Lepisosteus oculatus: one gene and its partner. The protein of the gene in region 1 interacts with the protein of each later gene in a pairwise test. Links are inferred from orthologs where the notes say so. Each region holds a gene or a part of one and is shown in the gene's direction. Other genes may lie near its edges.

What was found.
Region 2: the proteins of shtn1 (region 1) and fabp3 interact in binary tests that used the Homo sapiens proteins (3 or more experiments, as listed by UniProt). The two-hybrid records come from large-scale screens. The link is inferred for Lepisosteus oculatus from reciprocal best matches to the Homo sapiens genes SHTN1 and FABP3.

The regions. Positions count from the first base shown.
Region 1 is NC_090699.1:32,165,864-32,182,141, reverse strand, and holds the start of shtn1 (shootin-1), read left to right. Parts: upstream 1-8,710; 5' UTR 8,711-8,792; coding exon 8,793-8,850; intron 8,851-11,282; exon of another isoform or gene 11,283-11,419; intron 11,420-11,545; coding exon 11,546-11,598; intron 11,599-16,278. Other genes in the region: atp6v1ba (V-type proton ATPase subunit B, kidney isoform), read left to right, coding at 635-717, 1,550-1,654, 4,858-4,987, 6,107-6,249. UniProt on the Homo sapiens protein: Involved in the generation of internal asymmetric signals required for neuronal polarization and neurite outgrowth.
Region 2 is NC_090706.1:10,132,093-10,149,264, reverse strand, and holds the start of fabp3 (fatty acid-binding protein, heart), read left to right. Parts: upstream 1-7,980; 5' UTR 7,981-8,094; intron 8,095-9,489; exon of another isoform or gene 9,490-9,629; 5' UTR 9,630-9,654; coding exon 9,655-9,727; intron 9,728-15,458; coding exon 15,459-15,631; intron 15,632-16,933; coding exon 16,934-17,035; intron 17,036-17,172. UniProt on the Homo sapiens protein: FABPs are thought to play a role in the intracellular transport of long-chain fatty acids and their acyl-CoA esters.

The DNA.
Region 1 (16,278 bases):
CATAGTACATCCTGCATCCAAAAAATGACCATGTCCTGTCCCAGCCATGAGGATTCTCGGGAAATTTTAAAGGTGACATTCAGACTCCATTCAGAAGTGGCTCACCTGATAAAATGTTTGTTCCAATCCATGCTGTGCCACTTCGGCTTGGGCATCTGTAATGAAAATGCTAAATTGTCAGATCACCACCAGTCGTGCCTCTCCTTACCACTCAGCAGTCTGTGACTGTTGTCCGGGAACTGTTTTGGTCTGAACTTAAAGTCCAAAAAGTGCATTAAGTGTTAAATGTTATCCACATTTTAAACTTAATAGCATAAAATAATCTTGCATTAAGTTTGATTATATTGTGTTGTTAGTGCAAAAAATAATTTGATTCATTTTATCTTTTTATTGGATAAAAATTGAAACTAGATGTCGCTTTTTGTGTCTTCTTTTATGAATCATTTCTAGTAAATGAGTTCTGCTTCTTTTAATTTATGCTCGTGTGCTTTAGCAGCATACACATCATAATAACCAATGAGAAAAGATAGCTGTATATTTTCAAACCCCAAATGTCTGCATACTGTTGTCCTTGTTTTAGTCTATGTACAGCATTTTTATGTAATTGGCCTTTATCATTCCAATTATTTCACAGATATTACCCATCCTATTCCTGACTTGACGGGTTATATCACTGAAGGACAGGTCTATGTTGACAGACAGCTGCACAATAGACAGGTAAAAATAAACCCACATGTAGCAGTTGTTGATTTTATTCGTGTTTTCTGGAGAAACAAAACCGTGCTTCTTATTATGGTTTATTTTTAATACAGTACATTATGACATTGTTCCTCTTCACTACCTGGTTTGTTTCTAATTTAGAAAAATGATAAAAATATCACATATCAAAAAGTGTTTATTCTTGACAAATTCAGCTGTGAGTGTGCAAGATGAATCCTGTAACTAAGCAGAATCATTTGGGTTGTAAGTTTTTCATGTGGTACAGGAGGAAGATGTTTGTCTTTTATGTGCGAAAAAAGGATAGATCAGGATAGATCAGAGTTTCTCAATCTCAAGACCATTTCCTTAAGATCTTCCTCCTTTGAGGAGCACTTACTCTAAAAAGAGGTTCATAGCACAAATACCTTTTAATTAGTAAAATTATTTAATATTATAGCAGGGAATGGTTTTAAGACCAAAGGATGAGAAACATGTGGATAGAATAGATGATCTTGAAAACATAGCACTCACAAAACTTTTAGAACATTTTGTATTGTCATCATTGTTTCATTAGTTATATAATATTTCCATAAATACTTTTCTCTGTTTTCAATTTTATAAGCTGAATTTATCAGACTTTATTATTTATGCCAATCCCTGAACAACAGGTTAAATACCAAATGTTTTTTTATTGACATGTGTCCAAACAAACATGGACACAAAACCTTTAAGGTGTGTATGAAATCATTACAGATATTAAGGTTCAGATACAATGTGATTTAATTATGATAACAGATAATAGTTCACAATAGAAAAACTAAAAATCCAACATTAAATCTACATCCCTTAGATATACCCTCCTATCAATGTGTTGCCTTCTCTGTCTCGACTGATGAAATCAGCTATTGGAGAAGGGATGACACGCAAAGACCACGCTGATGTCTCCAACCAACTGGTAAAGAGCTTCTCTGTGTATTTTAAGAGAGTGATGCTGTGCATGCTAAATTGCATAACTGGTAATGCTTTCATACAATGTACATTTGTCTATAAAGGGTTTTACTTGTTTTCCATTTTAGTTGAAAACAAATTCCATTTTAGTTGATAAAACATTGAATAAACTCATCAATAATCCTTAAGAAGATGAGAATGTGGAGATAAAGGTCAGTTAATCTTAAATGTTTCCAGAGGCTTTGAAAGTACAGCTTACTCTTCAAATAGGAGGCAACTCCAATGGTGACAAGAAACTGAAGCTTTCACTCATGTACAGAAGTGAACCTCTGGGCACTTCACAATGTTGGTAAATCTCGGCTTCCTGTAAAATGGGAATTGCATTGGAATGCCTGGATTACCAAGCAGGATTTCTATGAATGTTTTTTTCATTATTTGGCTCCAGCACTAAAAACTATTGAAAGGGGGAAAAATCGTTTGTTTTACTTTCAGACAGTACTAATGTACACACAACGATTAATTATTAATAGTTTTGCCCAAACATGAAGAACATGTTTAAGCCACTGAGGACAACAATCATCATGCAGCCGATGGCCCAGGGTGTTGTTGCTACCATGCACTCTGATTATTTGCAATGCACATTCTCCAATCTTATTGAGGAAATTAATGGTTAAGACAAAATAACTATAACCAGAGTGCCACTCAGTGATAAGTTACAATGAAAAGAATTAGAAATGAGTGATAGGTTTGCAAAAATGTTTTCAAAATGTCACATATTGGACACTACATAATAGCAATGGTTTGCAATTAGTTTTTCTTAAGTAATAATACTGTTCAAAACTCCTTAAAATCAGAAGTTGTTGTATACTAGACCAAACAGTACAGTGTTGCATCAGTCCTTATATATATTTGGGTTGTTATGAGTTAAAGACCTTACCCTTTGTCTTCAATAATTCATTGTTTCTAATAGGAGAACTGTCCCCACATACGTTGCATAAATTAAGTCCTTATTCTTACCTCACCCCTTAACTTGGAGGGGAAATTCCACATTATGGGGCAGTTTCACAAAGAAAGATAACTCAGCTCGCTAACTTGAGTGAATATGTTGTCAAGTGTCTGGATTTTGGTTTCACAAAGCAAGACTGAATTGTACCCAGTTAAGCAGGTTAATTTAAAGTTAGCCTGACTTAGTGGTTAAGAGCTCAACCCACAGACCCATCAGTCCTCTGCAAAAAAATGACATCACCTTTCTTCAGGGATCGAGTTAATATATAATACATAAGAGTCTTGCGGAGAGAATTAAAGGTTTAGAGATCACCAAGACCCTTTACAGTTTGTTCATATTTTGTATTTAAAAGATACAGGATATACTTTACATTCACAATCTCTTCAGGCCATATATTGTTAACACATATTACTCATTATAGCTCAGCATTAACAGAAAGTCAAACTCTGTGCCCAGGGCTGAATTTCCTTGTGACTGGTGCAGTTTTTTTACTGCATTGCTGACTCAAAGGCATTCGGTAAAGAGACATTGTGTCATGCAATAAGGAAAGTGGTGTTTGCACTGGTTTTTGCATGTATTTGTAACATTTCTCAGCCTTACATGAGTGAAGTAGTTTAAGTAGGTAGCTGTGTCAGCATGCATAGGCTGCAAAGAAACAGTTAAAGGTTCATTCCATGTTGAAAAGAGAAAAAAGGAAACACAACGTTTCGGCAGTGGAGTCTTCTTTGAGTGTGAGCTTCTTTTCTTTTCAGCATGGAATAAACCCATTACCTGTTCTTTTACATTAGTGAATACTGTCAAACTAGGGTTTTGTGAAATAGCCAGTAATATTCTCATATATCTATCCAGTGTACATGTAGCTTCTGTTCTCTATAGCTATGTACAGTACCTTGATCTTCCAGCCTTTCCTAACGTAATATGTGCTCTGGACTGCACAGGAAGCTATTTTTGATCACAGAAAATCAATTCACAGCATCAGGCCCTGCCTAGCATAAAACATATGAACGTTGAATACACAAATGATAATGAATCAATCATTTCCATCAAAAGTTTTAAACACCATGTGTGTGCCTACAGCGGGTTAGATGCAAGACTGAGTTCATAATGTACAGTTTTTTTGGTCATCAGAAAGTTTCCTCTGTTATCAAATAAGTAATGACAACACGTGCATGTTCACACAATTCTTTTGAAGTTTTACCTTAATATATTTAATCTGATTTCATAATTACTGTCCACATTCAATTTATTGGCAATTCTTTGCCGGAAATCTTCCCTGGCTTTTGCAAAAGCTACCCTATTACAGCAGATTTGCCCTCCTCATAGTTTTCCATAAGGAGCTGTAATGCATGATCACTGGATTAAGACACATGTTCTTTTGCTGGGGTTTTTGCTGGCGAGGATGCACAATTCAGTGTTCAACCCTACTGCCTACTGATTAACTTCCCCTTAATGTGTGGTTAATCAGATTGCTTAAGATTTAACATGACAACTGAAACCAGAGATTGCCTTCGTGAAACTGGAGTAAGCCTGAACTCAGGTATTGGGTTAAGTTGAATTTGTTAAATCTACTTCGTAAAACGGCCCATATAAGTAGTTTCTTATATTTTTTGTAGCACTTTTGTTGCCCCTAACCCCAACATACAATGAGAACCCCACTTTACATGGGTGTTGTGGGTTTGTGGAACCTGAAATTAAAAAAGGAAAATATCTTGGAAGTCTTAGAGCTTGGGGTGTTTGGATAACCCAGTAAAGGACACCTGGAGCCCACATGACAGCCAATGTATATATTGTAAACGTATATAATGGAATCTTCCTTACAGCTGAGCAAAATAAATATTCCAACAATTCTACCCAAGGTCATTCCTGTGGCATATTATCAGCAGGGAAAGTTACTAGATGTATTTCGTTGTAGAAATAGTTTGTAATCACAAATATAACAACAATAAAACCAATAGTAACACTTTCAAGGACAGAAACAGATGTCTAAAACACGTTTAAGCTTAATCAACTAAATGTGACAGGCATTTTCTTTATTTCTTTCTCACCAGTACACTGTTGAAGGCACTTTTTTAAATGTTTATGGCCTTGCACTATACCCAGCTTTTGAGTGCTACCATTCAAAGATGTATCACGTGCATTTTTCTGACATGAATAAAAACAAAATCAGTTGTTGCCTTTGCTTTATTGAACGCCTTTCTCTGCAGTACGCCTGCTATGCTATTGGCAAGGATGTCCAGGCCATGAAGGCTGTAGTGGGAGAGGAAGCCCTGACTTCAGATGATCTGCTGTATCTGGAATTTCTGCAGAAGTTTGAGAAGAACTTCATTGCTCAGGGTAAGAATATGACAGGTTGCAAGATTTATTGGTGTGGGGGAAATCAGTGACAGACTAGATAATACAAGTCTCCTGTCATGGTTCTCTCACCTCTAATAGACTGAAATCGTCTTGTACAGTGAGTAAATTCTACATTGCATGAAACTTGAATTTCCTTAATCACTCTGACATTTTTTGTTAAAATTGCAATTCTGTTGTGAAATAAATGTAAGTTTAGAGCTACACTCGTCCTTTCTAAAGGATTGTCTGGTAGACAATGTAATGATTATGTTTGCAGACCTCGTTTTACTCATGTGAGTGTCATTGGCAAGTATTAGTCACTTTAATGCTTTAAATCCACTTCCTGCCTGTTTTTGTCTGTATTTGTTTCTTGGATTTTTCTGCAGTCTCTTTCCTGTTCACATGCTGCTACTTTATCTTCACCTTAAATTCTGCCTACTTCTGCTAGAAAATATAGAAGTTAATTAGCAACTACAGTATATAAGAATGTTACTGCTTTCTATGTCAGTAGAATGCATGAATATTTTTAATGAGTGTATAAAGCAGATAACCTCCAATACTGACATACTCCTGTTGAAGGGAAAGATTTTCTTGGATCAGAGTCATACTGTATATAGTTACACTTTTAAAGGGTAGGAGTACAGCACTTTATTTCTTATTAGATTCTTATTAATATTTTAATTTTTAAGGGTGCTTCCAAAATATCATAAGATTTTTCTTCATAATTTCATCAAATTGAAATGTATTTTTCTGATTTGAAACTCCCAGTATATAAGAAGAGCCAAAGGCTATGTAGTTGGTCAATTTCCTATACGTCTATGTGTTTCCACTGAATTATGACAGTGTGGAGAAAGAGCGGGTTTGAAAGAGTGTGTATATAATAACATGATAAAATAATCATGTTTTACCTTGACATGAAGACTAAGACTGATCAAATAATTTCAGTAAAACCGTGTCTTGACTGATCTCTGCTGCAGAAAAACACAATAGAGAGCAAGATACCTTCTCTGAAACCGATATGCGGTTGTGGTCATCAAAGAATGAGTCATGGAAAGGTCAGGTGGAAATTTTCAGTAATTTTGCCAGTGTAGTAATTCTTTGCGTTTTGATCTGCCCTAGGTCCGTATGATAACAGAACAGTGTTCGAAACTTTAGATATTGGGTGGCAGTTGCTCCGAATCTTCCCCAAGGAGATGCTGAAGAGAATCCCACAGTCTACCTTGGCAGAGTTCTACCCCAGGGAGTCTGCTGCTAGGCATTGAGAAGGCCTAAGATCTTCAATAGAGCATATAGCAATAACCTTACCTGTTTCATTTTAAATGTATTGTCATTGTCCTTGTTAAAAACAATGTACTGTCATTGTCCTTGTTAAAAATAAATGGCTGTAGTAAATTTCTGAATAACTTTCAAATAAATGTCTGGATTATTTGCATACTTTTAAGTATCTAGAGGTAAATCTGAAATATGAAGTTATGTTCGAAAACAGAAGACAATCCTGACAGGGTAAAAAATGAATGTGGTTTTATGTCTTGTTTTATTCCTCTTGAAAAATCTGTTCTGATGTCACCCTCTTGGTTTACAATTAGGTAGATTGGATGCAATGATTTTGAAGCAAAGCAAAGATTCATTCCTCCTCTGATGAAACATGTTGCTTTAATGTTTTGCTCTGTTAAATAATGTGTGCATGTTTTTCACAAAACCCGACATGCAACAAGGCCATTCCAGGTCTGTATTATAAAAAGCGCTGAGTGTTTTCTCTTCAACCAGGTGTGCTGTATTTGATTTACTTGTATGCAGGGAGTGTTTGCCTTTAGTGAGTGCAGGTATTTTGGCATCTATGCAAGGCAGAATTGATTTTTAATTAGACTTTTTGTCTTCTTTGGATCTTTCCTGCCTGAATGGGGCCTTCTTTTGCTGTTCACTTGTGCTTTTGACCATTTTATCAAAAACTTTCTTATTTCAGAATACTTTTTGTTTACATGAGCCCAATCAAAACATGATAAAAAACAATATAAAAAAATGTCAAAACATACATCATATAAAACATAATAAAAAGCCCAGTTAAGACTATGTTGAAGCCAGGATTAACATTGAGGAATAGGCAATGCTTGATTCATGCAAATAGCAGAAATTCAATAGTTTTCTATTAAATACTATGCTATTAAATAATGTGTTTAAAAAAACATACAGTTGTAATTAACTGAATGTTCTGCAAATTGATTAGCATATACAAAAACTGTATTTTTAACAAGCTTGAAGACAGGATGAAATGCATTTGATGCCTATTTCTGTTGACACCACTGCTAGTTGTATTCCTAGCTGTGAATTTATATTTAGTCTGATTCATGATGACAATCTTTATTTTGTCCTTTGGCTTCTGTTGTGACTGGAAACAATTGTGTGATCAATCTAGATTAAATTAAATTATGTTTACAATAACTGCACTGTATGTGATGTGTACTGTGAACAATATACTTCCTATTGTGTTTTGTTCTGTGTTTGACTACCAATAAAATTCTTAGAATATTTCTCCAACTCCATTATGCTATTTACTATAGTATCTCCGATATGTCTTGTGCAAGCGGGACAAAAAGGATCAGACATTCATCACTTTCCTTTTTCGATTTTCTGCCTTTTTATTGCACCCTGCTAAAGAACACTTGAGTGCTTCTGCATCACTTATAAAGAACCAATTACACTACTGAAGTTGGAGCATATAAAGTAATGCAAATGTGAATAATGAATAAATAAATGGGTGTTTAGCCAAGAATGCTATTTCTTGTATAATTTCACCCACAAATAACTCCATTAATTTTAGTATATATAAAATATATTATTCAATTTATCTGGTTCCTATGATTGGACAGTTAATAAATACATATTAAAATAGAATTATGGCATTTTTAAATATGATTTATTTTGTTTCTCACAACTGATTCATCAACTGATTCATTCAGATTTTGTATACTCATGGAGTTACATGCTGGCAATTGAGTGATTAAATGTCTATACAATTTTATAGGGAACAACGAACTGCATTTTTTCAAGCAAGTGAATACTGCTATGTTTAGTAGAGTACATGTTAAGTAAATATGTGATTTATGCATCGTGAATGATGCCTCTAAACCTTCCAAGGTTCATAATGAGTGTTTTTAATGACGCTTAAGATTGATGATAGGTTTTGTTTTAACTAGCTGCAAAATGCAAAGACATAACGTAAACAAACGTGCAACAGACAAAAGTGAATTTATTACATTCATGGGAAATTTAAGTAATGTCAGGAATCAATATTTCGGAGTTTAAACGCACTCCACCACAATCTGACAGCTCCATTTTAATCCGATGTGACGTCACTCAAACTACCTACAACAACTGATTTTAGGCCATAGCAAGCAAAACTCGTGACAAGTTTAGTAGACACTACGCTTTTGGCAAAAAATAAAACCGTTTAGTAAATACTTTGCGTCTTGTGTATGAAAACGAAAATAAAAAAAAAATGTTATTTTAAATACAGAAATAATATAAGCTGTAATTAGTTTCATAAAAGGAAAACGAAGTATGTTTAACAGTGGAGTTTATTTTATAGCAAAGAAAGAAAAACATTTTCGAGTTTGGCCCAGCTGAGTAGTACCTGCGCATACCTGGAGTTCAAGAAATTCTTGCCAACGTCACGTCCCGTAGGCTTGGATAATGTTGAACGGCCCAGGTGAGTACAGAGTTTACTTCCTGTGTTAGACTGAGGGTGTCTGTATACGACATATCAAATACAACGTCCCGGGACGGTACATCTTCACATTTTGTTCAAATGGCGAATGTGGAGGAAACAAAGCAAATGGAGATTATTACACAGCTATCCAACCGAGGTAAGCTATTAGAGACAACGTATTTTGCTGAACATGGTACCTACATTTTATTTTTATGAAAGTTTACGGAATGCTCCCCTGACCCGATGAGTGTAAAAAGAAACTTCATACACTCACCGAACGGAACAGACTCTTAAGAATCTTATGTTTAAGAACAGATGGGAAGCCTTAAATGTGATGTGAAGACAGGGGCCGTTGACTGAACCAGGTAGAATTCTTCACAAATCTACATGGCAACTTTCAAAGCGAAATTGAAACCTAAGACAAATCACTGAACCGGGTTCATTGAGAAGAGCCACACTCTAGATGTTTACTCATTAAGCCTATGTTATTATTGGAAATAAAAATATTTATGTAAAACAATGTCTAAATTTCAATGATGGGTACTACAGGTAAACGTCTGGCGGACTTTAGTTACAGAGAGATGCTATTTCCAAGCTGTAAACGACAAAAACATTTCTCTTTAAATACTACATTCTTACTTCTAACAATATATTTTATTGGTATTGTTGTTAGTTATTATGACCATCCTTAATATTTTTATAGTAATATGTAAGTTTAAAGACAGTAATGATTAACGGGTCCTGTTTATTATTATTATTATTATTATTATTATTATTATTATTATTATTATATGCTTTCCTAGACGGATAAAAAAACTTTTCATTGAAGAAGGGGGATGGGAAACCTGCTCAATAGTTAATGGTGATGCTTTTAGTCTTTGAAATCATCTTAAATGCGTCAAGGAAAGATGCTACAATGTAATTAACACATTTAATACAAATAGGGCCTGAAATGACTTCTCAAGATCTGTGGCCACATAGGGGTTGTCGAGGCAACGTGTTTGATGTGTTCCTTCAGAAAGTTAATAGACTAAGCACAATTTTCCCAGTGTGAGCCTCAGTAATTTTCCGAGTTTGGTAGATTAATTTATGATGAGCTGTCCTGAAATGACGAATTGCTGATTGTTAATCACAAAAAGCACTCCTCACTTCCCCATAAACACACAAACAGCATTCAACCACAATACATGTTCAGCTCTAATGTTCAGCAAATACAAATATGGGGCCCTACATTTTTTTTATCAATTGACCATGAAGTCATAAATGTTGTCTCCCTCTAAAGCATTTTAAAGCTTTTAATTTCTCCATCAACAACTATGGTGCGAGGGCTAAGAATCTCATCCTGTGTCATATTTAAAATTACACATTAAAATAATGCATTTGCTCAACCTCATCCTTTTATACAAAGTTGCTTCTCAAGTGGCCAGCTGCCATAATGCAAACAGTCCTCATTAAAGTGAATAGGTTGGTGTTAATTACAGTCTTTTAGCATGTTTGAAGTGCTGATGTCCTTCAGCATTCCCTGGAGATTACTGATGTTTTACTGCACCACGTCAAAATGATACAATAGCATTAAAAGTCAATTTGTCTGTATTATTAAGGTGTAAAATGTATGTTGTCAATTATTTTAACAAGCCAGAACTTGAAAGTGTTGTTATTGCATTAAATCTGTGATTTGTTGTTGATCTCTGGCACAATTTTAAAAGTTTTTGTATTATAATCACCATGTACTGGACCCTCACTATATCAATGTATAGCCTGGGGGTCCTTTTTGAAGTGTTATAAAAGTAGAAGCATTAGAAAACAGTGACAATGTCCTTATAAAAGTGACATCTTGCACCTCATTATACTGCACATGATACTGTACATGCACTAATATACAAGATACTAGAATGCTTAGCACTACTTTTATTATCTGAGTAACCAAGCAAATAATTAAAATTCCTCTGTCATTTTTTATGTTAATGTAAATGTCTCCAATAATGGCATGCTGTATTAATGCTTTGCAAACATAAGTGCTCACTATAAATGTCCAGTGGTAGTCCAGAAACCATTGAAGTCATTGCCTGGCCATTATGCTAGGAAGACATTTGTTTTTAACAAAGCAGAGCTCTTAGAAATATACCTCATGTCAAACAGAGCTTTGATACCTACTGATATAGTTGGCTAGTTTATTCCATGATGAAAAGTAAAAAGAAAGATTAAACACAGTCGAGTTTAACAGCCAAGGTGTTAATATTTAATTAGTATTTAGTAAGTACTTTAGTATTACTTTTAGTTACTTTTTTGTTTTACTTTTATGGAAATTAACCTCCAGTTCTTCTTTTGTAGCTCAGATGCTAACATGGTGTCTCCCCACTATACCTTTGTTTTTCAGTAAGTTAGGGGACATTTTCATTGTAATACTTGCTTTCAAATACAGCAATAGGAAATGTTCAAACACAGCAGTCAATGTGATTGTTTGATTAACAGATTCAGAAAGGATTTGTATCAGATGAAGTCCAAAGCAAGAACAATCTTGTGAAAAGTAATTTAGATCAAGCCCTGTAATGTGTTCCTCAAACATTGCTTTTTTTCAACTTCCCAAAGCATTCTGAAGCACTCCTCTTTATTTTATGTGTGTATACTCAGAACTGATGGAGACTTTGCCCTTCAGACGAGATGAGACATATAGTTCTGTCAAGGCTTCATCAGGGGTACAATCATTTTCCACCACATTGATATTTCTAAAGAAATAAAAAAAAACAAGGTCAGAACACATTTCAGAAAATTGGAGCTGCATCCTACATTCCTCTCAGCTTATCCAGAATTGTGATTCAGTCTTTAACAGTTTCTTCATTTTGCTTCCACAGCTATAAATGAGTATGAAGGACTCCAAGAAGAACACAAGAAAACCAAGCAAGAGGTCAGTAGCCTAGCATCTCTTTTTTTCTTTATATGGATAATTGTGTCCTTTTCTTTGATGTCCATTTCAATAATGCCTTCACCACTGGCATCCTCCTAAAACCCTCTTTTGCTGCACCTCAGAAGTAGAAGATCTGTTATTGTTGGTTCCACCACTGTCCTTGAGCAGTTCTGCCAAGTATGTTAGATACAACATTTTTTATTATATTATTTGGATTGTGCTTTCTGGCTGGACATTAAAATGATAATTTCTGACAGGCGATTAAACACGTAAAATTGAAGGACAGCTAAAAAAGATGCAGTTGATTAGTCAGTACTTGAACGAAAGAGTTCAGTTCACTTGCCACATAAAAAAAGTAAATTTCATATGCAACCTTTTATGATGTTTATGGGTTCTAATGTAACAGAAGTTTTAACACATGGATTTTTATTTCATTGCATGATTAAAACAGGCACACAATTAGTATTGGCAAATCAATGAATAAAAAAAGATAATTCCTTCTAATAAATTGCATCCAATTCATGAAATAATTTATACAGCTGCAATACCAATTTAGGCTTAATTTGACTAGTGGTATTCTTCATCTATGTTGCCAGTGACTTCTGAAAATGTCCAATGCTTTGTAATGTAGATCATTAATAACCACGCTAGTTTCTGACAGGCATTTCTCTACTTGTAAATCATTTTGAACAGTCCTTACAATAATATAATTTTCATGAAAGCAAAAATGCCACAAACTATATCTTGGTATTTATAAATACTGGAAGATGGATTTAAGATCCAAGATGTAAAAATGTATACTGCAGGTGGTCTATTCACAAGCATGGAGTGGGACAGTGATAATTTACACTCCTCACCACCACACAATTTAAGAATTTAACAACTGTAGAGATGAAAGAGGCAGTGTACATTTAACTGAACTGTGGAATTTAGAAGGGAATTGGGAGAAAATAATTTTAATAAAGCTTTTATCTAAAATGTTTCAGCTTTGCAAGCTGTAATACCATTGCAATAGTCAAAATTACCTTAACCTCTCTACTTCAGGAAAAGTTAGATATGGTTTGTTTTTAGATATTGTTTAAAATGTTTTACAGTCCGTTTTAACTGAGGTAGCATTGGTTAGTGTAATTTGGCTATGTGGCTGTTTGGAGAGTATATTGAAACTGAATAAACGCAGGCGTTAAGATAATTGTGATTCTATGATGTTAGAGTCTCTATGGCGGTGAAAGCAGAATGAGATGTCAAATTATTCTCCTTGCTTTTTGGAGAAAGGTCTTATTCTGTTGGGAACTGTGGAAGCTGAAGTTTCTTCAGTTGTTCTAATGAAGAAAAGGCCACGCACAGTCATTTTGCACTGGAACAATAATTCCATAAATCCTTCCAGGCATCATCTTGTGAAGACAAGAGCTAGACAGTGCTCTGAACGCTAGGACATAAATGCACAAAGGCAGAAGTTACAAGAAAGTTGCCCAGGACTTGGATGAGAGAAGTGTGGTAATGACTAATGACATAATCCGCTCTGCTCACCCTACATGGGGAGAAAGCTAGTAAAGGTGCCCTAAATGTTGTCTGGCCCTTAACCACTCTCAAAAACTGCGAATTCACAGAATCAGTTTTGGTTCCTTCAACATCACCTTCATAGATAGCATTGATAGTGAATGGCAAGAGTGTTGCCCAGCACTTGGGTCCCGGAACTTAGGTGATGTGAGGTTCACTTTGTTGCCCTTAGTGAGACTTGGTGAGTGAAACTAGACAACTCAAGAGCAGTGAAGGAGCGAAACTGTCTTCGGGAAGGGATAACAGGACGAGTAGTACTGAATGCTGAAGTGGTTTTGGCATAAAAAATTAACTCATAAACCATCCTGATAAGTTTCCTATTAAAATCAATGAGCACCTTAAGACTCCCGATCACGAAGTCCTGAGAGTTGTTATGTCACGGTCATCAGCATCTACTGTATGTACTGACAATGCAATCAAGGAACCCTGGCCTTCCTGGTGTTCCTGAGGGAGATAGAATTATTTGTTTTGGTGAGTTCAGTGCTAGAATTGGAAGTCACCCAGTGCTCTGGAATGGAACCATTGGTGGTGAAGCAGTAGGAAAGGTCAACTCCTGTATCTAGTATCCTTCTCGAGGGCAAATATGTGAAACGTGGTCTAATCAGTTCAGCCCGTTCCACCAAAAAACAAGTCCAAGACATCATAGCAACACAGCTGATTTATGAATGTTTTTAAAGTTCTTTACAGCAATGTTACTTTTGACTACCAATAAGCTCTAAGATTAATTAAATTGGAATTGATGCTTAACACATTAACTATTCCATCAACAACCACTCTATATGCTCTGTCACTTTTGATTCATGGAGAGTATGACAAGTTCTGTGTTACATGAAATATGAAATATATCAGATATGAAAGAAGAAATATATAAATGGTCTGGATCTATATGCCACTTATGAATAACTATTCTCATTTTTGGATATACTAAGTGTTTATTGTGGAGCAAATGATCCAGGATGATGGCATCTATCTTGTTAGATCATCTTGCTGGTGTTACAGTTTGAGTATGTTGGAGGTTAATCCAGTAAATATGTAAATGTCCATGTTAGCAGCAAGAACCTTTTTACTTGATTATGAATTTGAAAACATAAAGATGTGTAACCTTTCATTGGGTTTTGTCAGGGATATCCTGGAAAAGCTCAGTGAAGTTCAAGCTCAGTGACTGAACAGATTATGAGGCAATTTAAAAGATTTTAAATGTAGTTTTTTATGTTTAGTAGTATTATATGGAAAGCTTTAACAACATATGCAGAATCCATGATTTAATGTAATCACCAACAGATGTCACATTCAATTACATGAACAGCCTTGTATTGGAAAAGATCTCATTGACTGTACGTATTTTAAAACGCGTTTAATATGTTTTACACCCAGTCTTTCATCAAAAGGTCATATCTTTTGGCCCTATTTATAGTGTACAATAATAATCCCACAACCGATGTGCGCAAGTTAATCACAGACGATTAGATTTCAGAACTGCAGCCATGATCAATGGCAGGGATTTATTTTTGAAAGCAGAATTTCATAATTAGAATCTGATCTGGAATTATCATTCAGTAAAGCACATGAAATGGCTTTACCTAAAGCAAGAATGCCTGAAACTCATATTTATCATCCAAGTTGCTAACATTTCTATAGGTGAAATTGTTTAATTGCAAGGATTTTTTTCTTTTGTATAACATTCAGTTTGGTATGAAAACCTGTATATAAACATCTTGCTGATTAAACTAATACACATTACTTTGAGAGAGAATCTGAGGAGGGAATAAATTGAGACATTGTGAGCCCAATTCAGTTATAAATTTAATATTGTATAATTGTATTAATATTGCATAACACCTCCACCTTCAATCCTCTACTAAGTTGTAAAGAGTGCTTGCTGGATAAAATGTGAATTTTTCCTAGTATTTTTTTCCAGGCCAACAAACAAGGTGTCAGGTTCAAAAGGTGGATATAGGTTGTGAGAGAGAAATTTAAACAAGTAGTGTTTTTTTTCCAAACTGCATTATTCCAGTTTATAGGTCTACTTTTAAAGACGGGAAAACCTAGACATTTGAGTAAAATCGAGGAAAATAGCCGATGTTTGAACCTGTTCCTGCCCATGATTTTGAATAGCCATTATAGTTGCAAATTGGGTCACACTTGTATTCACAGGTCCAACCTGAATGAAGATGAAGATGTTCCTATACCTCTCTCATATCTGACTGTTGAGGATCCTGTAGGCTGAAATGTTGACTGAAAATGTACTAGAAGAAACTAAAATGAGTAGAGGTCTACTCAATGTACAATTTCAGTGACTCAGATGTAAACAAAAGTACATTATTAAAAAGGTATCTTGCAAACCTACAGGACCCATAACTAGAGGCTCCACAAAACATGAACTTTTTATTTTAATTGCATATTATTATAGAGTATAGACAAAATGATCCTGGCACTTCTTATCTTCTTTCAGCGAGCTTCTTAGGAAGGCTGCTGAGATGGGACTCTGTGACTCAAATCCAGACATCATAAGCTGGGTCCATTGTCATGCCTTCATTGATGAAGTGCCTACAGTACATCAATATACCTTAGTGTGCAGTTTTAAGAGGGAGAGACGTCTCCCTGGCTTCTAACTGAGGCCAAAATGCTAGAGAGAATTAATATTGTAGCAGAAATGTTTTAGTTTAAGGAAATCCATCTTTTTCTGTCTTCTAAAATTAAAACCTTAACACAGTTAAAGATGTAGTTTGAAGGATCTAAATTTGCCATGCATATTTTTGAATACAGAAATAATCACAGTGTATACAAAAAATGTTGATGATGATAATAATTGCTTACACTTCTAGCACTTCTCTGGACACTCCACCAGCACTTTACAGGCAATGGGGATTCCCCTCCACCAAGTGTAGCCCCACCTGGATGATGAAACGGCAGCAGTAATGCGCTAGTACATTCACCACACATCAGCTATCAGTGGGGAGGAGAACAGAGTGATGAAGCCAATTCATAGATAGGGATTATTAGGAGGCCATGATTGGTAAAGTCCATTGGGAAATTTGGGGTTACACCCCTATTCTTTTCGAGAAACACCCTGGGATTTTCAATGACTACTGAGAGTCGGAAGCTCGTTTTTATGTATCAGCC
Region 2 (17,172 bases), on another chromosome or scaffold:
CTGCCGATTTTGGAAAGGATCTATCCCACTGGTCTGAGGATAAGGACACCTGTAGACAAGGTATCACTGGACAATTCCAGAAATTAATATTCTATTCATTACACTCACTATGGTAACACCTGTCCAATCCTGAGGAAAAAGGGAGAACTGTACATATCCCAGAGGCTGATACAAATGTATTATACCTCTAATAAGATAAATATATTACCACAACACGCTGGTAATGTGGCACTTTGTAATGACAGCTTTGTGATAAAATGCAATTAAAGCAAGTCTCAGAACCATCTCAGGAGGTTATTTGATTCCAATTGTTCTATTATAGTTCAGATATATGGTCCAGTTCAAACCAAGACAATATCTCTTGTGCACAGGTGTGCACTCTTGGCGACTTGTATTAAAATCTGTCTAGGCAAATGTTTCCCTGTCTATTTGAGCAAACGCCAGGAGTCACTTGACTCTAACTGCTGTTGCCACAAGATATTCTAAATCCCAGCCTAGATGGAAACTGCTGTCAGAGATGACTTTCTATAATCCTGCTCAAAAAGAGAGATTTATATTGGTCTTTTTTCTGAAATATAAAAATCGATTTTTCAAGCCTGATGATACACCAAGGTCTGTGGTTTTTGCCTTAAACAAACTCTTGTGTTTTAACCGAAGATGTGCTGTGTCCATTGCCCTGAGACCCTGTATTGGAAGTTAGAAAATTGATGCCGTTAAGCCCTTCCTTGTCTTATACTCATCTCCCGCACATGCCTCCAGTTCCAGCCCCCCGTGCTATAAAAGCCAGATGTTCCTGCCAATCTAGGCTCAGCTTTGGAAGATGGATGCCTGGAAGCCCGCCTACCCGCGTGTCCGGGAGTGATTCGACGGCACAGGCTTCATCACGGCATCCTGACCTTCTGAGTCCGGGATTAGGGAGCGTCCGGTCCCGTGACCCCCCTTTTATTCCCCCGTCCCTCCGCCGGATCCCTCTCCGGCTTTTAGCTCAGTTTGTCTGTCAGGATGGATTACCCGGTCTTGGACTTTTGCTACACTCATGGATTTGCCTCGGAATCCCTCGGACTGTTTGCCTCGGCCACACCTCCCCCGGACACCAGCGCACCCTGTTTTCCTTCCAGCCCCTTCCAGCATGCTTTTTTCCTCATGTTTTCCTCACTCCTCCCCGGATTGTGTTGTCTGCATAGGGTCCTTAAGAACGTTTTGTGACACCTGTATGCCTTATTAAGACTGTCTTGTTTTATGCTTTGTATAAGCAAAAACGTCCCATGAAACATGTAGGAGTAGGAGCTGCTTGTAATAAAAGAAAAATGCTTGTGCTCTTTCCAGACTTTCCAAATGATACTTTAGAATCCCAGGAAATAATGCTAAAATATCACATTACAGGCATACTGTACACAGGTCTGCAATGCTGCAGTAGATCCACAAGATGGGAGTAGCGCACGAAATGTTTTCAACTCTTAAATGTACTGAAAGACTCCCTTTAACTTAAAAGTTACTTGACATCTTAACAGTTTCAATTCAGCAGTTTACAACTTCAATTAAGGGTTCAATTAAATAACTCTGCTAGGATGAAAACCATCAACTGTGGAAATCCAGAGCTGTTCTGTTCTTTAGGTTTGACTAATCTCTTTAAAAATACAGCCTCTTAATAACAAGGAAATGCTTCAACTTGTCCAATTAATCACATAATGAGTTCAATTAAGTACTCATTATGTCCTGAGATGGCAAGAAAAACAGAAACTTTCTGACCCTCCAGGACTTGAGGTGTGCACCCTGAATTGGGGAAAATGTGTCCATCTCTGTTTTTATTTTGGCATGACTAGATTTTCACAGACACCCTACATCCATACATGAAATAAGAACCACACCAGTTCTTTGTACATAGTCTGTCAATCAATCCTACCAATCCTGTAATGTATGCAGGATTGAACATACTGTACACCTCACCAAATGGTGCAGTTATACTGTAGTTGGAATTTGAAAACAAAACCCTCAAACCTTTAACGATAATGCCATGACAGAGGAATCCAATTATCTATATTTTTCATAGGAAATTAAATTTCATTTTTGCCCTCCCCACCTAGCAGTCTGTGCCAAAGTATTCTGTGCATTTCTATGACCTAAATCCCTCTGCAGGACAAATTTGTACAGTGACGTGTGAGGCTGGTACTGAGACTGTAACTGCAGCTGTCTCTGCACTGGTCAAAGATTTACAAACACTGACCTTTGGCCTACTTTGTATATCAGGTGAGCAGTGCAGTGTGACTGGGTGAAAGAGTACTTAAGGGTACGATGACTTTGCTGGCTGAGAAAGCTGTTGAGGTGAAACTCTTAAGGCTCAATATTCAAAATGCCTTGAGTATCCTGCATCAAACAGAACAAATGGTCTTTGCACGTTTTGCACACAGCAATGTAAACAAACTTTAAATAATTATATTGCAGTTTGCAAGAGGTTTCCTTTTGACATTTGTTACAAAAGGTCCATAAAAAGTAGCTCTAGGAAGCTACAGAAATCCAAGGCATTCATGCATGAAGATTGAGAATTGCTTCATGTGCTCTCAAGGGGAACATCTCAAAGGAATCTTACTTACTCTGTTATGTTAATTAGACTTAATTGGGCATACAGGTGATATAAAAATGAGATGTTTGGTGGGGTGCAGCAGCTGTAGCAAAGGACAAAGAAGCATTACACAGTACAGAATAGTTTTAATGTAAACGGGACCTAAATACTACAGTACATGCAGGTGCAGGAGCATGCCTTGGTAGCAAAAAAACATTGCATGATCCTTCTAAATTCGGTCACTTGTCTCGGGCCTGATTGTAGAGAAGCACTCCCTCTTATTGTGGTGTCCAAAATTTTACACCTAACTATATCTCCACAGCCTTTCTTACCTGTGCTCCCAATTCATTGTACCCCTTTTCTTTAATTAGATTAATAATACAATCATTGGCTCACAGGTCTACTCAAAAACCAGCTATGCACTGCACCTTGAGGTCCTACCTAAGTACTACTGAACAGTGGAGAAGTGAGATATGATCAGATGAATCATCTTTCTCAATGTTCTCAACAAACACACAAGTGCATGAAACAGCAGGCTTAGAGGAAATCTACAACCCTGAGTGCCTGGTTCCAACAGAGAATGGGTCTTGTGGTTCTATAATGTGGGCACTCCTTCCCTTAGACGACAAACCTAGCTAACTGTCATTCAATGTTGCTGAATGATTCATTTTCATACAGTGTAGTGGAATGTCTTTCCTGCTGGGAGAGGTGTCTACCAGGATGACAATGTCCCCAGCCGCAGAGGGTGTGTGGCCACCCGAAAGGTTTGGTGATGTTAGCCACATGTCATGGCCTTCATCAAATCTGCACCTAATCCAGGATTTACAAGATATTCCAGCACAATGCGCCAGACTGCATTTTACTCCTCCACCAATCAGGTGTGTGTTGACTGGCTTTCTCATGCAACAATGGTGCCACACCCCTCCTGGAGAATTTTACATGCTGGCAGACTCTATGCTGCAATGCACACATGCATACCAGGCTGCATTTGGTGGCCCAGAATCCTATTAAGTGACTTTACATGGGCGTTTCCTACTTTCTTGTCTACTACCTGTATATTATATGAAGGCGCTTCACACAATAGCTGGTGTGTTTTTTAATGGAGTTTTAGACTCATACAGCTGCTTTGTGAGTGATCAATGCCTTTGCATGGCCATGGCCGCAGGCAAGGGCCTAACCTTTTTTTTGGCAGCTGTTTTTAGTTTTCAGCCATATAAGATGTCTATGTGACAGGTGCAAGGGCTCTCAGGTCTCATCTTTCACAGATCCCTGAACTTCATGATCTACAGAAGTTCACTGTGCTGGCCTCCAGGATGGACTTGGCATCTGTTACATATTGGGTAGTTTGGTTCAAAACATCTAAGCTAATGATGTTTCATTTTTTTGTCACATTGTATCCTCTTATATCTTGATTGCTGAAGTACAGTATACAATTACAAATTAAATACCTTACTCATAGCAGAGCCTTTAGATGTTCGCTATTTCTAATCTGTCATACTCCCTGAAATACAGTAGTTTGTAAAAAATAAGGAATTCCGATAAGAAAATTAGTGTATTAGTGTATTAGAATCTGAAATAAAAGAAGATCTAAATGCAAATGGCTCATGCTATCTGGTGTATGAGTTTTATGACAACTCACACAACATAGGTATAAGAACAAGAATATCAGGAATAAGGACGAATGTGGATTAAGGCTAAAGACAGAGCTTGTGTAGAACAATAGAAATAATATTAAGACAGGTTTAGGTTGAGACCTTGAGGTTTAGCATGAGACATTGCATTAAGATTGAAATAATTTCCAGTGGTTTGTAATAATGGGCTGATGATAACTCTCAAAGGCTAAGTGAGAATTTACATCGCACAGAGCATGCTTGTAGGTAATTTGTCTTATTGATGTCCAATGTCTCTGTCAATTGCAACTCATGTCCAATGTTAATTTAAATATAGGTTGTGTGAAAGCAAAACTGACACTGAAATGCAGACACTTCCAATACCATTCAAACAACACAATCAGAGCAATGCTTAAGAAGAGTAATACAAACATGAAAAATGAGAAGAGGACTTTTACCTAGCTTTGCTCATTTGAATACTAGTGGCAAACGATCTGCGATTTCTACCAACTCTACAAGATGACTCTAGTTTCTCACAATAATGTGTTAAGGGAAGATGACTGTTTCCTGCCTTTAAATACTCATCAACTTAAACGCTACCTGTGTCCCAGGCTCCTTGGGCTGTTGTTGATTTTGAAATAGGGTCTCCATGTTGTCTTGATCAGGACCTTTTAGAATTTTGAGTACCTGAATTAGGTCCCATTACACAACCTCTACAACAATATCTTTCTACTAATGTGGTCACCAAAGAGAGGACTAGCCAATGCATTGTGTAATTCTATACTCTCAACATATCTGAGTATTTTGCTGACCTTTAATTGCTACCCAATACTGTCTAGTTAAAGAAAGTAAAAAAACTCTTACATCTTGCTCATATATTTTTCATTCCAATTCTCTAACACCTATTTGATATCTAAACTTCATGTGCTGGGTATGCAGCTTGTACTCTGCCAACACCATGTCTTTAGATGCCCCAGTTCCAAGCACTTGCACAGGGACCAGAGAATTATGCTACAGCAAAAGCTGAGCAGCATGTGTGTTGGTGCTGTTTGTTCAAAGGTATTGAGATGCTGACCTCCAGAGGATTACTCAAAAGTCAAATCAACCCCATTGCACAAATCTGTAAATACACTGTGACTCGACTCATACGTCCATGTTCTGTCTGCGTGTCTTCGTAATAATCACAGCAGCTGCAGCTTGCCAGGTAGAATTGACTAGATACAGTTTTCCACAACAGATTGGTCTCATTCTTAAAAACCAACTGAGCAACAGCTCAATACTTGCATACATTTGAAGCTGTAGCCCTTGACATGTTAAGGGAATTTAACAATTGCTTAAGTGCAAACAGTCATCTGCCCAGGAAATGTGTTATTGTCTTTCAGCTGGCTGCTTGATTTTGGCCCAAATGTTTCTAGATAATTGGAACGCATTTCAACCAGTGTGTGTGCCTCTGAAAGCATGGTTGGGGCTTTGATACTTACCTCTTAAACCCCACTGATGAAGAAGCAGCTGCAGGACGATGTTAAGAGAGGGGAGCTACGTCAGTGCATTTGCCGAGTAACCAGATAAAGAAGGTTCAACAGATGAAACATTGCATTTCTTCATCCTACTTTTCAGTGTGGAACTAACCTTTTCTTGTTCCCTTGCAGCTTCCAGTAAGATGCTTCCTGCTAGAAATCATTCAAGATCACACATGGTAGGCTAATGTAACTAAGCAACTTAAGTTCATTACTTGTGTTACCAGAGTTCAAGTCTTCTGCAGATAGGTGCTGGCAGATGCTTTGGGGGATATGGGTACATTGCTTGACCAAGACAGTGTATTCTTCTCTGATGCACTGTGGAAACAAGCTTATGTATCAGATGGCAGATTCTCTGTCCACTCTTTCTAGTCTAGGCATGTATACGTGCTTCTCATTCAAATGGAATAAAGAAGGCTGGTTTAGGCATGTCTTCTTGCAGCTTGCTCAGATGGGATGAAGAAGGCATCCTGGTCTTCCTTTACCTTCACAAACTGGAGCAGCTTCCAAGGCTTCCATGCGAAGGGGATGCAAGCACGTTGGGGTCCCAGTCTACCACGTGGGAGTCACGTCAGTGCAAAGCGTCAAGCAATGTTGAAAATTTACAGTCTGGCTGCCACCTGGCCTGCCTCCTGTTAAGAATGTAGCAACACATGGCTGAATCTGGAGCAGGGCTGTCAGAGGTTCAGCTTTGCCTACAGGGGTTTGAACAGCAGGACCTTTCTCTTTTGACCTCCAGTTCCAATGTAAACATAGGCTGGGCAAGGTGTCAGATTGGTGGCGTAAGATTTTGTAGAAGGTTTGGAAAAACTGGGCTGTGGTTGTACTTTAACACCTGAAGTGCCCAATAAACAGCCTTTAATTGGGAGATTTGATTATATTTCACTGCAGTGTTTTACATCATGTTTAGCAACAGGTATGAATAAACTTTGACTCAGCATTACGAAGACAGAAAAGCCTTGAGCTTTTTTCTTCTTCTATTGCACTTTCAATGTATTCAAAACCAGGTGGATGAAGCACAGCTTTCTTTGTTTTTTTCTTTGTTCAAAAAGGAGGAGCGACTTCTAAAACGCCAGAGCAAGAGTGAAGATTTTCTAATTCAGAGATCTCGATCCAGAAGAGATGGGTGGACTTCAGCTTCAAATAAGCATGCAGTTTCCAACTATACTATTTTTGTGGTAATAAAAGCACCAGTATCATTTTGTCTCAACAAACGCTAACTAAGCTGAGGAAGAAAACATTTGCTAACTGTATTGAAGTGTGGTACTGTGCAATGTTATGTAATGTGGTATTGCCTATAACTCTTATTTTCACAATTGTTCTACTTTCATTCTCATTCAAATTGCTATTGCATATACTGTACGTTACACTTAGTAAAAAACAGTACTGAACTTTTTTTACTACTATTATGGAGCTGTGAAAAAGTATAGAATAGGTCATGTCAAGCCTGTTGCTGTGCACACCACACGTCATGGCACAGTTCATATACTTTCACATGCATTTTCAAAAAACAGGCTGAAGAACATCTTGTAATTGTCGTGTTGCTATTTAATGTGGAAATCAGGCCCGTTATCAAACTGTAGGCTGCTCACGGCATGCAGCCCCTTGTGTTTTCTTGCTTTGCACCTGCCTGTTCCATCAGTGTATTTTACATTTTGTTATTGTTGCTCAATTAAGAGATGAACATTATGTTCCTAACAACAGTCGTGCCCAAACTTGGAAAACGTCTCGATCAAAGATAAAGATAAAATCAGTTTTCAGGTATTTGTCTTGTTTTGGCGCAATGACTCAAAACCCCACAGCGGCTTCCAAACGCGATACAGTGTCCGTCCCTCGTCACATGACGTTCTAGCGCGCTTTCCCAACAGGCTGGCAGTTTTGTTTTTCACCTTTATCTCCCAGCCAATTACAAACTAATTCACTACATTCATTAGTTAAATAAGACTGACTTTAACGAATCCACCTTCAACACAGTTTGTCTCTATGTTTAACTCAGACAAAAGTTATAAAGGGTATCTCGACAAAAAAAAACACGTGGAAACTTGTACGTTACACTGACCAACAAAGCTTTGCTGCACAAAACCGTAACTACACGTCCACCCAAACCCTTGCGAGCGACACCCAACTATATCCCACGTGCACGGAAGAGAAATTTCGCTGCGTCATGACGCATAAACAGCATAACGTGGACTCTGATTGGTAAATCTTTCTAATACGTCATTACGTACGGACAGGCATATATACAGGGTTAGCAGGGGGCGGTACGGCGCTGCAGTAGTAAAATTAGGCGTCGGGGGTCGCTGCAGTTTCCCCAGCAGAAAATCGAAACGGCAGTCAGAGTGGGCCGTTAGCCGAATCCCATAAGGATCGACACCGGTCGGATTAAACAGTGTCAGCTAAATCAGAGGTAGCTTATTTACTTTCCAACCGTAATTTCTCATTTTACTTTTTTTTAAAAATTCCGGTATCGTATCCAATTCAGTATCTCCTAGAAGTCTGTAGCTTCACCGCACCTCGTGCGAAATTCCCACGCATTTTTCCAAGCTTTCCACGATGCCCAAAATACTGGCGGGGACTGCGTGCGAGTTTCTCTTCGCTCATTACCGCGTGGTTTAAAAGGAGCCCTTGGTCGTACGTGTTTATGAACGGTTTTGTCGGTGCATTTAATGCTTTTGCTATGGATGATTGTAAACATTTCTCCTGAAATGAAAATGCTTCAGATCTTTCCACAAGCCAGGGAGTCCGAAAGAAAGCACTCATAGGCTGGGTGGATGTTTTGTCTTGGTGTGACTTGTAAGACTTTATATGTAGATCATGAGGAAAAATCGTGCGTTCCCGAGAACGGAAGTACAAAGCGCTCGTTTCTTAAATCTATGCGAGATCTATCTTGAGAGCATTTTTTGTGCCTGGTTGATATGTGCTTAACGGTATTAAAACAAGTTTGGGTGAAAGTCGGCCAACCTTTCAATATAAACCTTTTGTCTTGTAGGAGTTCTTCGGTAGTTTCTTAATATTAGAACTTTTAATTCGCTTCCTTGCTTTTCATTTTTACACTTTACTACAGTCTAAGGGCACACGGAGCTCTATTGTTTTTAAAGGGTGTAGCGTTGTTATCTCTTGCCTTAAGCATTAACGTGTGTCGTGAATAACGAAAATACTATCTGCAGAATTGGAGGAGGATGCTCAGATATATCTGTCTTCTGAGTGTTAGCTACCGTCTTACTCCTGTCTTGCGTTTAAGGGAAAAGGCGTTTTAATTTCCGAGACATGAACACCATTGCATTGATAAAATCCTTTATTTAAAATTATCCCGTTGTGCATGAAGACGTTCTATGCAAAAGTGTGCTACCAGAAGGTTTAGCAGTCCTCCTGATAGACGATGTGGAGCATTGGCATTGTTGAGCAGCTGTTAGACGCACTCTGCTTGTGAGGCCCCCTTGTGTGCTCAGAGATGGGGGGAAGGGGCCTGTCGTCGGGCGAGGCCGTGCACTTGATGGTCCCATTGACCTCTTCCAAATCGATTCGCAGCGGAGCCAGCCTGCGCATCTGCAAACTCGCTCGTCCCTGCCCTGACCCCCCTCCCTCCTCCTCCTCCCCATCGCTCCCGCCGTCTCAGTCTTTACATTTCATTCTTCCCGCTGGCCCCTCGCGTTATTCCACTCCTCCCCCACCCCCACCCCGCAGACAAATCTTTGTCTGTTTCCCGTTTTTCCTCCCAATCCCATTCCCTCGCCGCTCTCGGCGCTTGATCCCCAGTCGTCCCGTCTCTCTCCCTCTCTCCCTCTCTCCCTCTCCCACACCCCCTCTCTGCTTCTCTGACATCACAGACTGCTGATATAAAACCTTCCAGTAGAAAGGCGAGAGTCCTGCGCTCCTGCTGCTGCTCTGTCACACATTCTCCCTGTCGGTGTTTGACACAGCTATCTTCTTTCCTCCACGCAGACTGCTCGCTGACCCTCCAGTCATCATGGTTGAGGCTTTCGTCGGAACCTGGAATCTGCAGGAGAGCAAGAACTTTGATGACTACATGAAAGCCATTGGTGAGTGAATCCGGAGAGACCTAGGGCAAAGCGGCAGTCCTCCGTCTGATTGGAATTCATCTTTCATGCATAATGCACGTCTTGCAGTCGGATGATTCAGCCGGGCGCAGGTGCTGTCAAAACTGCTGCCATTTTAACTCTTGCTGAGCCACCCACGAGCCCGACAAAATCTGCCAAAATTGGTAAGGCGACCACAAAGGTGATCTTTGGTATTTGCGAGGTAAAATTAAGAGCTGGCGATGGAATTTAATGGAGAAGCACAGGCAGCCAATAGGGGAAAGATCAGTTTACATTGCCAGCCATAAGAATGTAAGCATTTTACCCATCACTGATAAATGGGAGATAAATGAAGCACTGCCTGCTGTGAGGCAGATGAAAGAAATACTGCTGTAAAATTCCCATTTTTATGGAGATGAGTCTTAAAAGAATCTCCCCATTTCTATTAACATTTTGCAGACATGCAAACCATGATGTGATGCAACACCACTCTCTGTTGAATTAGGAGGTTATGTTTGAGAGGTGGACATTGGGCACCCGTATGTACGTGTGCACTTTCCAAAGCAGAGAGCATGTCTGAAGTGGCAAGCTGGGTGTGCAAAATTCAGTCCTCTCGGTCCTCCGGCATGCACTTCAAATAGTGCTGATTTACAAGGGGGGGGGTGGGGGCATTCATTTGAGGAAGAAGTGTTTCAGCACATTAGCGGGGAGCTGAACAGCTGCCCCACCTTTTCCCTCCCCCAGGCTACGGTCTGGACACGTTCCTCTACTCTTGAGAGCAGGACATGTGCTGCTACATGTTCAATGCAGTGGTGCTGCTGAGCGTTATGTCATGTGGCACACCTCAGTTTCCCATGCTGCGTGCCCCAGAGGTCAGAATCGGGCTGGTTCAGCATGCGAGTCCAGTTAGAGTTTAACCCACTCATGTCCTTGGCTTGTCCTTTTTTTGTGTGGTTGAAGTGAACTAGTTTTGAGGGGGAAGACATTTATTTCTACGTTTTGCCTTGTTTGATTTGACCCTCATTTCATGCTTTCCCACCCCCTCCCTTTTTTAAAAAGCAGGTGGGGTGTATTTACCTCGTACAGAAATAGTGCTTGTTCTTTGCTCGGAAGCCAGATATCCCTTCATCCTGTTACCTGTTAAATGAAATGCGTTTAGTTTCTTATCTGCACTGAAACAACCTGGGCTTGGTCTCGGAATGCCCTTATTTTCTTATGTGCTCGCACACAGCCTTTCTGATACTTTCCAGTGTGTGGCCATCCTTTAATGCCTGTGTAAATGATTTGATAGTTTGCGACGGATGAGTAATGCAGTAAGTAATATATTGTATCTTTAAGAGCCGAAGTGCCAACAGTGCATTTTGTTGAAGTGGAATGACACGTTTTTTTTACATGAGCTGATAGATGAGTGTGCTTACTTTATTTGCCTCTCGTTAGTCTTTGTGTGTTCCTTTCCAAGTGCTTTCACACCTCCTTTTCTTCAACAGCGGGTTATTTGGTAAGTATTTGCGATCAAATCGGATTTCTGAGTTTTCACAGCTACAGGTATGGTGCCGCTCATGGCCTAAAAGAATACACTGCAAACTGACTGGAATAAAAATGATATTTTAACCTGATCATACATGTTTGGTGGAGTTGCCTTTTTAACTTTAAGAAGATGCTGTTGTTATCTTGAGTGAGACTGATGATTCTTGCAGGATGGTCATTGTCCATTAATGGGTTATGTTGGGGAGAAACGATGCACTTGAAAGCCACAGCAGAAAACCTGTTCTGAAATTAGTGGTGGGCTGAGCAGTTCTCAGGGGGGTTTGAGAACACCCTGACAGGTCTGCATGACATTGCAAAACCTTCAAGGTGTGGATCCAAATAACACAACAAAACAAAACAAACAAAAAATCATTTGGCCATTAACACATTTACAAACCGAACAAGCTAACCTCCCTGTATCACATTTTACTGCCAGCTGCTTTTCAACTCAAGACTCTCATGCAGCTGGTTATTGTATCCCAATGAGTGGGTCAGCTTCATCAGAAGAGCTGGTTTGGTCTTGAGTACACCCTGCATACAGTATGTGCAGCTAAGGTCTATGTTTCATTTATCCAATTCTGCCTTAATGTTAAATTTCAACACCTTTGCATCTTCTGATGACCAGACTCATAACGCTACCAGAGCAGAAGTGCTGAATGTGCAAGTGGTGTCTGAGCCACAGTTTTTGAAGAACGTCTTCCTGCAGCTTTAAAACTGCACGTTCATCAAAAGGCAGGAGCTCTTACATGCACATTACTAGTGAGTATTACATTGTGACCTCATGCATTTGTTTTCACATATAAACATGGTGAATTGTCTTCCAGGAACCCAAATTTAACATTGACTGGTCTGATAGTTTTTTTTAAGCTTTGTCTGCCAATATGCCGTTAACTGCCCCGTTAACATCTAACAAAGTTTCAATTGGGCAGTAATTGATGGTGGCTTTTATAAGGTGTCAAATGGTTGCTTAATTAGCAGATAAATGCCCCTTGTGCATGCAACAGGATGAAGCTCTCCACGCTATCGATATTAATCTAGACTCCGCCCAGTTGTGTTATTTACACAGAGTAAGGTCAAGTGTGCAGACGTCCAGTTTTTGGAATGATCATTTACACTGTAGCCACACCTTGCTCTGGCAACACTCCAGCAGAGTTAATATTTGATGGCGCCACCCCTTTGCCTTTTGCAAGAGACCATGTGTAGACAAGGTCGCGATTTCTGATTGGCTCTGTGTATGGCTGAGGTCACGACCAGACTGTCCTCAGTGACTCCTGGCCAAATGTTTAGCCATTGCCTTGCATCCTGGGTGTGGGATAGAGTGCCCATTACTATATGGCTCCATTTCCTGGGTTGTGCTAAAAAAATTTTCAACATACGGGCTAATCTGTTATAACTGTACAGTGTCCTTCAGAGCAAAATGTCAGTTTGTGTCTTATCCAGTTATTTTACTCCTTTCTATGGAAGCTTGTGCTTTTTCTAATTTGGTGTCTGTGTCTCTGTTTAGACTCTTAATTACCACTGTGGTTATTGCCACAAACAATACCTTCTGAAAACAGATTGTAAGATCCTGCCAGCAGGTCTATTATTCAGAAGCCGCCGCGCCTTCCTGTGTGGCACAAGTTAATCCACTAGATCCCTGATATGAAATTAAAGTTATTTTGAGATTTGTTCCGAGTAAGTTGTCTATATTCGGAAAATTGTGGTTGTCTGTCATTAACTCGGCTCTGTGCTGAAACAATTGAAATACCCTGCTGGGAAAGGAGCTGAGACTATCGACATGCCCAAAAATAAAACTTCAAAACAGTAGGCAGCTCTGTAGGGAGAGCAGATCGGGATGGGGGAAATTTAAGTGTGTAAGTTTTACTGTATTTGGATATAGTAAACCTTCCAATTGGATGAAAGGTACTGTTTCTTTCACTGTTTGCACGAAACGCTGGAGCTGGATATGGGCTGATCCTTCCCATCTTGAGTTCAGCTTTGTGCCCTTGGGATGCGCACAGCCTGGCAGTGTGGTGGCTGGTGCTGCTCCCTCACTGCTCTTGAAACGTGGGTTCAGTTCCAGGTGGGAGTTTGCATGCTCTCCCCTGGTTTGACTTTTGTTTTTTGAGTGCTCCAGTTTGCACTCTCCAAAGACTTGCTCGTTAGATTAATTAGCATTGCTAAACCCTCGCTATGTGTGTTTGCCCTGCCAAGGGCTGGGCTAGCACCCCCATCCTGGAAGAGGTCCTGCCAGGAAGACAACACCCATAGATAGTTTGCTAGTAGCTAACTGATTGGAGGATGGTAGCCAGTTTTTGTTTTCCAAGTTTTTGATAACATTTCTTCCAATTCTCCTCTGTTGAAGGCTAAAGAACTTGTTTTTTTTTTTTTGCCTGTTTATGTTCTAGTACCACATTGAAATATTGCATGAAAACCACCCCTATAGGTTCAGTGTGGTTTTTTGACTATACAAACTCAAGATGCTGGATGGAAGTCTGTGCTGTTTTACCAGTATTGTTCTTTAACTATTTTGCAATGAGGCTTTGTCAGGAGAAAATTATACCCACTATTCAATAACCAGGAAATTCATTAGATCTATAGACAAGAGGGAACGATCAGACAGGGGCTCTGCTGGAACAGCTTTGTGAACAAGCTGCTTGACCTGCTGTACTGATACTCCGCTGCAAAAAGGGAATGAACCTGATCAAACATGCAAACGAGAGGATCATCATTGTATTTTTTTCTTGTGGGGAAAAAAACAAGACCAGATGGTTAAAAAAAACCCACAGCAGTAGCAGTTGGACTGGTTTGGTAATGATATAGGCAGGGGTATATTCAGACAACTCTACATTTGTTTTCAACAGCTAGCTCGTTCAGGCCTTGATACAAATTGTTGTAGCTTCTCGGGCTCAGTGGGCAACAAAACGGTGAGATCCATGCCGGAGCTCATCCCGGTTTGAACCACTCTAAGCCAAATGGAGAGCTTCTCTTATTAATGGGACAGCAGTCCATAGCAAGAATGACCTTCCAGCAATGCTGGATTTAAGATTAATCCTGGGGCGGTGTGGTGGCTCTGTGGCTAAGGATCTGCACCTGTGGGTGGAAGGCTGCCGGTTCGTATCCTGCGGCCGGCAGAGGAATCCTACTCCGTTGGGCCCCTGAGCAAGGCCCTTAACCCCAACTGCTCCAGGGGCGCCGTATAAATGGCTGACCCTGCGTTCTGACCCCCAGCTTCTCTCCCTGTCTGTGTTGTCTCATGGAGAGCAAGCTGGGGTATGTGAAAGGACAAATTCCTTATATGCAATGGATTTTCCCAACAGTTGGTTCAAGTAGTTAATATTGCAGATTGAAAACTAGAAGACCCTGAAACCATGGGGGGCTGGCGCTGCCCATCTCTGATTCAAAACATTATCGATTACACATGGTTATTTTAAGACCATTTTGACAACCCCCGCACAAAACAAGCTATCTAAAATACTCATTTCATGTTTTGTTACAGTGTTAAATGATTTGCCTTTAAAATCCAATTTGTAAAACTCTGTGGGATCCTTCTGGTTGGAATGTGGGGATGTAAAAATGCAAGTTATTACCAGCAAGAATAAAGTCCATGAAGGATAAAAGTAAGACCCAGAAGAGGGATTGGGTGAACGTGCGAAAGCAGTAGGTTTTATCAGAAGATACAGAGATGATTACAGACAGCAAAGCTTGTTGCTGTAATAAATGAGTCCTTTAGCCAGGGTAGGTGCAGTAGATTGTGTGAACTGTGTTAGAATGAGCTTGTTCAGTTTTCAGTCAGTTTTCTACAGTCTTCATTGCGGTGTAGGTCGGTTAAATCTCATCACTCAGGGTCTCTCTCTCAAGCCACTGGTGATAAGCGGGACTGGGGCGTGGGATGGAGACATGCAAGTCCTAATGGACTGCTGCGCTGGAGGACAGGAAAGGACTGGGAAGCCCTGCACTATTAAACTGCTGCCATCTAGTCCCAGTATCACACTCCTACATCTTAACAGCTCTGTAAAGTGAGCAATTCTGCTCTTACTTCCCTCTGCCTTTAGATTCCAAATACCTGCTGTTATTCCTTATTTTAATTCATTTTATAGATAACTGTTTGCAATTTCTCAAGGCCCAAGACCTCTTATTTGAATCAGCTACTTTCTTAAATGGTCAAAAATGTGCTATGCTTTCTGCACTTCTGGCTGTGACCGATGGGTCCGAATTGTCTTTGCAGGGGTGGGCTTTGCCACCAGGCAAGTTGGCAGCATGACCAAACCCACCACCATCATCTCCGTGGACGGAGACACGGTCATCGTGAGAACGCAGAGCACATTCAAAAACACCGAGATCAAGTTCAAGCTGGGCGAAGAGTTTGACGAGACCACAGCCGACGACAGGAAGGTCAAGGTAAATCTTCCAGCTCCTGGTTTCCTGGCTCCGGCCAGGATTGTTGACCTTCATTTCTCTAAACCCTTGGGTGGAGGGCCGTTTCGTTTAATGCCGATTCTAAGGAGAAGGTCATTTGTAGCATTGGTTTTAGCTTTTCAGAAGGATTTTCCAAACGCATTTCGTTTTGTGAGTGGTAGTGCTAATGAGTGTGTCAGTTGGTTTGAGAAATGTAAACAGAAGCACTTGTGCGACTGTCTCGCACACATTTACTCGGTTATCGATATAAAACTACAACTGACATCCTGATAGAAAAGCTGGTTTGGGAATGATTGAATGAAAAGTGAAATTACTTGGTTAAATGCTTTAATCTCTTTTGCCCCTGAAGAGTTACTTCCTGTAATAACTTGGATAAAAACAGGTTCCTGAACATGTACAGTAAGTAACCAAAAAGTGAATGATTTTTTTCCATTTGACCAAAAGCTATTTTTTCATGTGACAGCAGTGTATCAGGATGTCACTTCTTCATTTAAATCTTCATTTAGGAGGATGCTTTGCTCATTAAGTATAGGGACTGTCAAGATGGGAATTTATTTTACAGTAGGAGTTGGTGGTGGGGGGTTAAATCAATCCTAAGATAATTTTGTTTTACCTTAGTGTAGTGTTTAGTATTGCACAGATTTGGGAATGTTTGGAATCACTTTTGAAAGGATCAAAGTGTCAAGAAGTTGACAGGGGGTGTCTGTAGCCATCTGGCAAACATTTACTCTTGACTTCACTCATTCATTCCAGTCTTGTCCACTGCAGTGCTGTGATGCATCCAGCTAATTAAATGATAATCAGCAGGCTCTATGTATTAAATTGCTGGTTGCAACAAAACTATTTGTGTTCTAGAAGTTGATTAGCCCTGGATTAACATTAAAGAAACCCAATATTGCCGCTAGGAGCACCTCATTTAATGGTAGTTATGACCACCGTATGAGTCATTCCTTTTCACTATAGTATGCGTCAGTGTTATCTCAAGGGAAATTGTTCCATGTGGGTTGTACAAGGTAATGTTTAAATATCTTTATTAACATGAAAAGCAAAAATACTTTTCCAGTAGCGGACATCCTTTTTCAATTCCAGATTCTGCAAACACAGGGAAGGGGTTTGGCTTTCGTTGACAACGGGAGTTCTGAATTCTCTCTCTACAGTCAGTGTCACCTTTGCATGTTTATTAGTGAACAGAATAGCAGAGCTCAGACCTGGAGAAACACGTGGTGCCCTGATCCCTGCGATTCTGTGTTAAGGTGATCATGGTTCCTCTTCCTCTTTCTGCAGTCGTTAGTAACAGTGGATGGAGGGAAGCTGGTTCATGTTCAAAAGTGGGAGGACAAGGAGACCTCGCTCGTGAGGGAAGTCAATGGAAACCAGCTCGTACTGGTCAGTAATCCTCACTTTAACTGGTAAACCTACAGTATTTAGCCACATAGCAGTGCTCATTAGTAAAGCAGTGGCTTTGTCATTTTCAGAAGTTTGTGTTTAGTTCAAATATTTTCTTATATCCATCACAATCCCCA